Linked DNA regions of Coturnix japonica. The protein of the gene in region 1 purifies or fractionates together with the protein of each later gene. This does not show direct contact. Links are inferred from orthologs where the notes say so. Each region holds a gene or a part of one and is shown in the gene's direction. Other genes may lie near its edges.

What was found.
Region 2: the proteins of RNF19A (region 1) and SOD1 purify together in Homo sapiens (affinity purification with western blotting, with the first as the bait; 3 studies listed by BioGRID). This does not show direct contact. The link is inferred for Coturnix japonica from reciprocal best matches to the Homo sapiens genes RNF19A and SOD1.

The regions. Positions count from the first base shown.
Region 1 is NC_029517.1:116,328,236-116,332,148, reverse strand, and holds the end of RNF19A (E3 ubiquitin-protein ligase RNF19A), read left to right. Parts: intron 1-864; coding exon 865-1,008; intron 1,009-1,368; coding exon 1,369-2,059; 3' UTR 2,060-3,569; downstream 3,570-3,913. UniProt on the Homo sapiens protein: E3 ubiquitin-protein ligase which accepts ubiquitin from E2 ubiquitin-conjugating enzymes UBE2L3 and UBE2L6 in the form of a thioester and then directly transfers the ubiquitin to targeted substrates, such as SNCAIP or CASR.
Region 2 is NC_029516.1:94,144,495-94,148,407, forward strand, and holds the start of SOD1 (superoxide dismutase [Cu-Zn]), read left to right. Parts: upstream 1-1,434; 5' UTR 1,435-1,574; coding exon 1,575-1,649; intron 1,650-2,056; coding exon 2,057-2,150; intron 2,151-2,757; coding exon 2,758-2,827; intron 2,828-3,913. UniProt on the Homo sapiens protein: Destroys radicals which are normally produced within the cells and which are toxic to biological systems.

The DNA.
Region 1 (3,913 bases):
TCATGCCAACACTGTGTGCTCTGACTTGCTCAGAAGTCTGAAGTACAGAATTACCCCTTCTGAACACCTTAGCTTTGCCTTAGTGTCTGCTGTGAATTGGGGTCTTACTGTCTGTAGGGGACAGGGAGTATCTTGGAAAGGATTGTTCATGTGTAGGGTTCTGGAAGGAATTTGCTCCTGAGGAAAATGAGCAGTGTTTAGCATCACATTTAAATAGCTTGCAGGCCCAGGCTACTTAGAAAAAGGAAGGCAGAGTAACACTGAGAGCTTCCTTAGTCTAGAGCACGTGTTCCAAGCTGAGACTGCTAGCTGAGGTATCCCTGTCCTCCTCTTGAAGGAGCTGGGAGAGGAAAGCAAAGCAAGCACTTCCAATTCACCATCAGAACACAAGAAGGCATTTGGAAAGATGCTTATTATTCTGTTTTATCTACTTGTGTTTTCAAGTTTCTGGTATTTCTGTTGACATTGGTAGCAGTACAACAAAGCCGAGTACAGAACACAGTTCTCACTGTTCTGTTATTTGATAAGTCAGGATTTGGCAGTGGGACGACATGGGAACTGTTGTGAATTTGTGTGCCCTTTCAATTGTTTTCTCTGTTTTTGGAGAACGGTACGTTATCTGCAAAGGAATTGTAGCTCAGCTTGGAACTCATTTTTGTAACTTTCGGGGAGGAAATAACACAGAGCCTCGGTTTTGTGTGCAACATTTTACTTTGTTGGCAGTTTCATCTGATTTTGTTTCTTAACTGTGTGACTGTGCTCACTGCTGCGCAGCGGAGAAACTTTACAAGGTGACGGTAATTCTCAGCTAGGGTGCTTTAACTGTAGTAGCAGCTCATGCAGCTCTTTTTCTTCCTCTCCAAGGCTGGAAGTACAAGCAGATGTACAGAAAGAGCGCTACAGCCTGAGTGGAGAATCTGGCACGGTGAGCCTGGGAACAGTTAGTGATAATGCCAGTACCAAAGCAATGGCAGGATCCATTCTCAACTCCTATATCCCTTTGGACAGGTAAGAGAAAGGTGAAAAGAGAAGGTTAAGCCTTGCTTACTAAAGGTATCCTAAGCATGCCTCAGCGGTTCTGTCTAAAATTCTGAAGAAACAGTTTTTTTGTTAGAAATGGAATTCCACACAATTGCTTCTGTTTGCCAAGCTTACTTCCAAAGAGCAGCACAATCTTTGTAGCTCAGTAAAGTGTTTCATTTTCAGGCTGCCTGCTTCTGTTTGGGCTGTTTACTTGGTGAACAAAAACCGGAGACGTTTCTCTCACTTGCTTTTGCAGTGTATTTTGGAAAGCTGCAAGAGTTTGTTCCACCGTGTCAGCTGCGTGTTGTAGGTAACTGCTCACACTCAGGTTTGTTCTTGTTGCAGGGAAGGCAACAGCATGGAAGTGCAAGTGGATATTGAATCAAAGCCAGCCAAGTTCAGACACAACAGCGGAAGCAGCAGTGTTGATGATGGCAGTGCTGCAGGTCGGAGCAACGCTGCGTGTTCGTCGGCCGGCGTGCCAGAAAGTAAATCGAGTGCCACCAAGTGGTCCAAAGAAACAACAGCGGGGAAAAAGTGCAAAGGGAAGCTGAGAAAGAAGAGTAGCATGAAGATAAATGAGACAAGAGAGGACATGGATGCTCAGCTGTTGGAACAACAAAGCACAAACTCCAGTGAATTTGACTCTCCCTCTCTTAGTGACAGTATTCCATCCGTAGCAGATTCTCACTCGAGTCATTTTTCTGAGTTCAGTTGCTCAGATATGGAAAGTATGAAAACTTCCTGTAGCCACGGTTCCAGCGACTATCACACTCGCTTTACCACGGTCAGTGTGCTCCCTGAGGTGGAGAACGACCGCTTGGAAAACTCCCCACAGGCGAGTGGAATCGCTGCGCCTGTCCCAGCAGCCGCAGGCACCGATGTTCAGCAGCTGAGTTACATCGCTGAGGAAAGCATTAATAATGGATCTGCAACAGACCTAGGTCCAGGTGTTGATGAAACTCTGAAAGAAGCGAACAACAACCATTCACAGCGTGCTGCGGAATTAAGCACTGCTATTCAGACTGAAATTTAAGCCAAAAAATGCTGCAAAAACACATTTACCACTAATGAGCCCTGTCTGAAAGCTGGTTTAATTACGTGCGGCAACTTCCGTAAGCTTCAGGTGACCGGCAGAAGCGAGGTTCTGATACAGCTGCATTTTATATACCTGTCCGTTAAGGCAGAGTTACTTCATACAGATCTTAGACCTGTGTGAAGGGACATGAAGGCTTTAACAAGTGCATTACAGCAGTACAAATACGTCCATGTTTTATTTTTTATTTTTGCCACAACTTTGCTTGAAAGCGTATACTTGGTGTATTTAGATGAAAATTGGGTAATTCTCGATATGGTAAATGCTAAAATAAATAATACGTCCTGCACTGTTGGCTCAAAAAATAGGGGATGTGGGATAAGTGGGTGTTAGCTGAGCATTAGTGACTTACAACCAAGAACTGTAAGGGAAGCAGAAGTTTTGCAGAGACCTGTACAAACGTCTTTCAGCAGTGAATATCCCCAGTGATGGTTAACGGTTTATAACTGGACACGCTGTTTGGAATGGATCGCGTACCTCCAGGTGGTGCGGCCCTGTGTCAGGAGCTCTGAGCGAGGGTAAGGCGTCTTACAGCATTCTGAAGCAGATGAAATTGGTACATAATACACAGTGGGATGGAGACAGTGGGCTCACTTATTTATCCACACAACCAACCGTGTGGCAGATGAGGCCGCCGCGTATTGTGTAAAACCTGGAAGGTAACGATCCATTGATTGATGAGCATCACAGAGAAGCAGATGCAGCCACCTTTCATGAGGGGGGAATGCGGTGCCCCGTCAATCCTCGGTGCCTTGGAAAAGACTGGGTGTGAAGTGCCTGGTTGGTGGAGGATTTTCAGAATGTCCTCTTTGGCCACCTTCGATCCTCATAGAAAATCCTAGCGAGTAAATGACTGGTAGAGAACTGTATGATAGCGGAGTATTAGCCTACCAAAGACTCACTCAGGCTTTCGTGAATGATTTCTTTCACGTGACATCTCTTTGCAAGACGTGCATCTTCAGTCCCAGAGTTGGAGTGCAGGGCAGTGACTGCCCGGCTGCCACCGTGGCGTCCAGACATGCTGGCTTACTTTTCTTCTGCGTACAGAAGATGTACAGATAAACACGAGCTGAAGTTGGCCAAAGCGCCTGCACTGTCCAATGTTGTTTTTTCTTTTCTTTCTTTTTGCTATGTAAATCACTAAAAATGAGGGGGAGGGGGAAAAAAAAACAGTTGTGAATATCAGAAAAACAGTTACCAATGTTCTGTCTTGTGTTCAGTGTATTGCCATTATGGTGCTACTGGGAGTTGGGTTGGATGAAAAGAAAACGCCGTGTGCCGCGGTTCTCTTCCACGACTTATCCTCACCAGTTTCATTACATGCTTATAACACTAGTGCCAGTTACGTCATTGGGTAATGCTTGTTACGGTATTTGTATATTTGCAATTCAGTTTTGCTCAGTAATATGCGTGTAAACTGCATATCTGAAATAAATGTCTATGTACTGAGTTGGAGTGGTCCTGTCAGCGTGCAGGCGGCCTCACGGAGCCTCTGCTGTGTGAGGAAAGGGTGAGAGCTGGGGCTGCTCATCCTGGAGAAGGGAGGGCTGAGAGGGGATTCCATCAGTGCTCATAAATATCTGAAGGGTGGGAGTCAAGTGGATGGGGCCAGGCTCGTTTTGGTGGCACCCAGCAACAGGACAAGGGGCAACAGGCACAAAGTGGAACGTGAGCTTCTTCACTGTGATGCTGACAGAGCACTGGTACAGGCTGCACACACATGCTGTGGAGTCCCCACCCCTGGAGATACTCAGAGCCCACCTGCACACTTACCTGTGCGGCTGCTGCAAGGAG
Region 2 (3,913 bases), on another chromosome or scaffold:
TTTTTCTCTGTGGATTTGTCATTGTTGTTGTTGTGTTGGTTTTGTTGCAGTACCATGATTAATGAGGTGAGGGGACCCATGGACCCCTGCTCTAGGAGAGGGGGAAGGGGGAAAAGGGGAAAGGCAGGGAGACAGGTCTGAAAGGAGGGCCACTAAGATGGTGAAGGGCCTGGAGCATCTCCCCTATGAGAGACTTAGGGAACTGGGTCTGTTTAGCCTTGAGAAAAGAAGGCTGAGAGGGGACTTGATCCAGGCTTATAAATACCTGAGGTGTGGGAGCCATAGTAGTGAGGCTGGTCTCTTTTCAGTAGTGCGTGGGGACAGGACTAGGGGTAATGGTATGAAAGTACAGCATAGGAAGTTCTGCACGAATGTGCAGAAGAACTTCTTTACAGTGAGGGTGACAGAGCACTGGAACAGGCTGCCCAGGGAGGTGGTGGAGTCTCCTTCTCTCGAGATATTCAAGACCTGCCTGGATGCCTACCTGTGTGACATGGTGTAGGGAGCCTGCTTTGGCAGGAGGTTGGACTCGGTGATCTCTAGAGCTCCCTTCCAACCCCTACAATTCTGTGATTCTGTGTGAAACAAAACAGCAGCAGTGAACTAAGGGAGAAAAGTAGTTAACTAAATATGATAATGAATGTGAGATAATATAGTATATATAATAATATTTGCTTTCAGTTCTCACTGCTCTAGTCTGTTATCAGTAGACCACAAATAACACAACTCTCCCCACACCAAGCGTGCTTTGCCTGAGTCTAACGGGCAGGCTTTGCCCCCATCCTTATCTCAACCCACAAGCCTTCTTTCATCATGACTACCCCCACTCCTGAGCTATTCACACAATCATACAATGACCTGGGTTGAAAAGGACCACAGTGATCATGTAGTTTCAACCCTGCTGATGTGTGTAGGGTTGCCAACCACCAGCCCAGGCTGCCCAGAGCCACATCCAGCCTGGCCTTGAATGCCTGCAGGGATGGGGCACCCACAGCCTCCTTGGGCAACCTGTTCCAGTGCGTCACCAACCTCTGTGTGAAAAACTTCCTCCTCATATCTAACTTAAACCTTCCCTGTCTCAGTTTAAAACCATCCCCCTTGTCCTATCACTATCCACTCATAAACATCCATTCCCCCTCCTGTTTATACGCTCCCTTCAAGTACTGAAGGTCACACTGAGCTCTCCCCACCACAGTCCGTTCATCCACCCAACGCAGGGTCTGAGGGACCTGAGGTAAGTAACAGAGATAACGGCCATAGCACAGACCGCACAGCGCCACAATGATGGAGAACGGCGGTTACACAACCAGCCCGACCGTTGGAGGTGTCCCGCTTTCCCATTGGCCCATGAGACCGCACCGCTGATTGGCTCTCCCTCCGCACCGCCCACTTTCCCTCTTGATTGACAGCACCTCGCGCTGTAACTGCGCGAGAAGACCAGAGAACGCGCTGTGATTGGCCCGCGGCGCTGACGGACTCGGTATATAAACCCCGCGGGAGCATCGATCCCGTTAGCCCTCGGGTAGTTGTAGGCGGGGTTGTTGGTGCGCGCCCTCTCGTGCTGCTGAGGGAACATGGCGACGCTGAAGGCCGTATGCGTGATGAAGGGGGACGGGCCCGTGGAGGGGGTCATCCACTTCCAGCAGCAGGCAAGGCCCGGCAGCGGGGGGGGATCTGATCGTACTCTGACCGGCAGCGGTGCTGAGTCATCGTGCGACCGCGGGTCGGTGCGGGATGGGGGCGGGGCCGGTCATGGTGCCTGTGGGGGAGGGAGAGCAGCGGGTTGGGGTTGGTTTGAGTTAAGGAAAGGGGCTGCACCACAGGGCGGTGGGTATGGGGCGGGATGCACGGGGCTGTGGGCACGGCCCCAGTGCTGGAGATCAGGGAGAGTCTGGACAACGCTCTCAGGCATACGTTGTGATGTTCAGGGCTCGCTTCCAGCTCAGGTTATTCTGCACTGGTAGCTGGTTTTTGTTATTGACCTGGAAGCTTTGCTTGTAATGAGGCTCTGTGATGCTTTAGTGGTGTCAGTAGTAATCAGCTCTTTGTGTTACAGGGTAGCGGACCGGTAAAGGTTACTGGCAAAATTACTGGCTTGTCTGATGGAGATCACGGCTTCCATGTGCATGAGTTTGGGGACAACACAAATGGTAAGGTGCCTGGCCAAGCTGCTGAGTTACAGCTACAAGGAGCTGCTTCTAGTGGCACAGCAGCAACCATCTTCAGCATGCGTATGTTTTATGACTGCACATTTGAAACCATGATTCCTAAGGCACATTTGAAGCACATTTGAAACCATGATTCCGGTGGTGCAGTGGTAGAAGTGCCGCTCTGCTACACAGGAGGCTCGAATCCCGGGGGTTGGACTTGATAATCTCTAAGGTCCCTTCCAACCTGCATGAGACTGTGATACTGTGAACTGATTCTTACAACATTCTTTGAACGCATTTAGGCTACTCTTCAAGGTCTGGTATGTCAAGCACTGGCCTAAGTACTTCTTCTGACCTAGTTTTTAACCTGGTGTTAAGAAATGGAGAAACTTTCATCTGGCAGAGATTATTCTGGAATGAGTCACGTGGATTTGTTGAACTTGGAGTAATGTTTGTGTGTTTATAGATCCAGCTGGAGAGTAGCTGTTTCATCATTAATGATTTTAACTTCCTCTCACTGTAGGAGAACTAAGTTCACATGCAGTATAAGCAATGCCTTTATCTGCTTATTGTGATGAATCTACTTTTGGTGGTTGTTCTTTTTCAGGGTGTACCAGTGCAGGTGCTCACTTCAATCCTGAAGGCAAGCAGCACGGTGGACCAAAAGATGCAGATAGGTGAGTGTCATGGGCATGACCTAATACTGTGCAGTGCAGTAGTTGTGTAAGTTCAGCTTGAGAGGCTGATGTGTGACTAATTGCTAGGATAGTGCTAGAGGAAAACTAGCAGTTCCAGCAGGACTTCTGAGGGCAGTTAGGAAGGTACTTGGTGATCATACAGCAGTGCTTTAGATACCCTGGCTCTAAGAGTGTGTGCAAAATGCAGTCTTTGGCGCTCTGGTCTTATCATAGCCTGGGGTGAAGGGGAAATAATAAGGGCTGTTAGTGAATGTTCATTAGGAGATAAGTGAGAAGGGGAAGGAAGGTCATGTACTAATACCTCTCGTGGTGCCTTGCTTCTCTTTTGGAGCTAGCTATTGACAGCAGTGGCCCTATAAATGTCTTGTGTTGAGCTGTGTGTAGGCTTGTCATGTGGTCTGTGAGGATCCTCACTAGGGCTTTGGGGAGGCTGCAAGATGGGCACAACACTGAGTGCCTGGCACAGTGGATGTTCATTTGGTGTGCTGGGTTTTTCTTAACACCTTACCGTAGGTACCATGCTGCCTATGGGATGTATTCTGTAGGGGTTGTGTGCTGGCTGTAAGTACTGGTCTGTTGGCACTGAATGCCTCTGCCCTTGCTTCATAGCCCTCTGTCAGAGGAAGCTGAGACTGAATTCTTACTGGGAAGCAGTTAAATAGCCCAGTTACCTTTGGGGGACCTTTAGTGTCTGAGGGGTTTGTGTGGTGTCTGAGACCACTGAGCAGTTGTTTCAGTAGTATGCTTCTGGGTTCTGAGACTGGGAAGGTGCTGTTGTCATGCTGGTCTTTAGATCTTGTGCAAGTCTTAAAGGTGACTTGATCATTCGGAGGTAGGTTCTGAACAATCACTGTGGTTAATCTGGCCGTGTTGGTCATGGTTTTAGGTACTTTGCCTGTACCTGCAGCTTCTGTTATTGATCAGTTACTTGTCAGATGAAGTAAGTCGAGTGGTAGGTGTCTGGATGAAAGCAGTGTGCAGTGGTAGCTGAAGGGCTTCACAGGCAGCCGGGTGCTCTAATGCTAAAGGTCAGTTACGCGAGCAGCGTGCTTCTATTGATTCTCT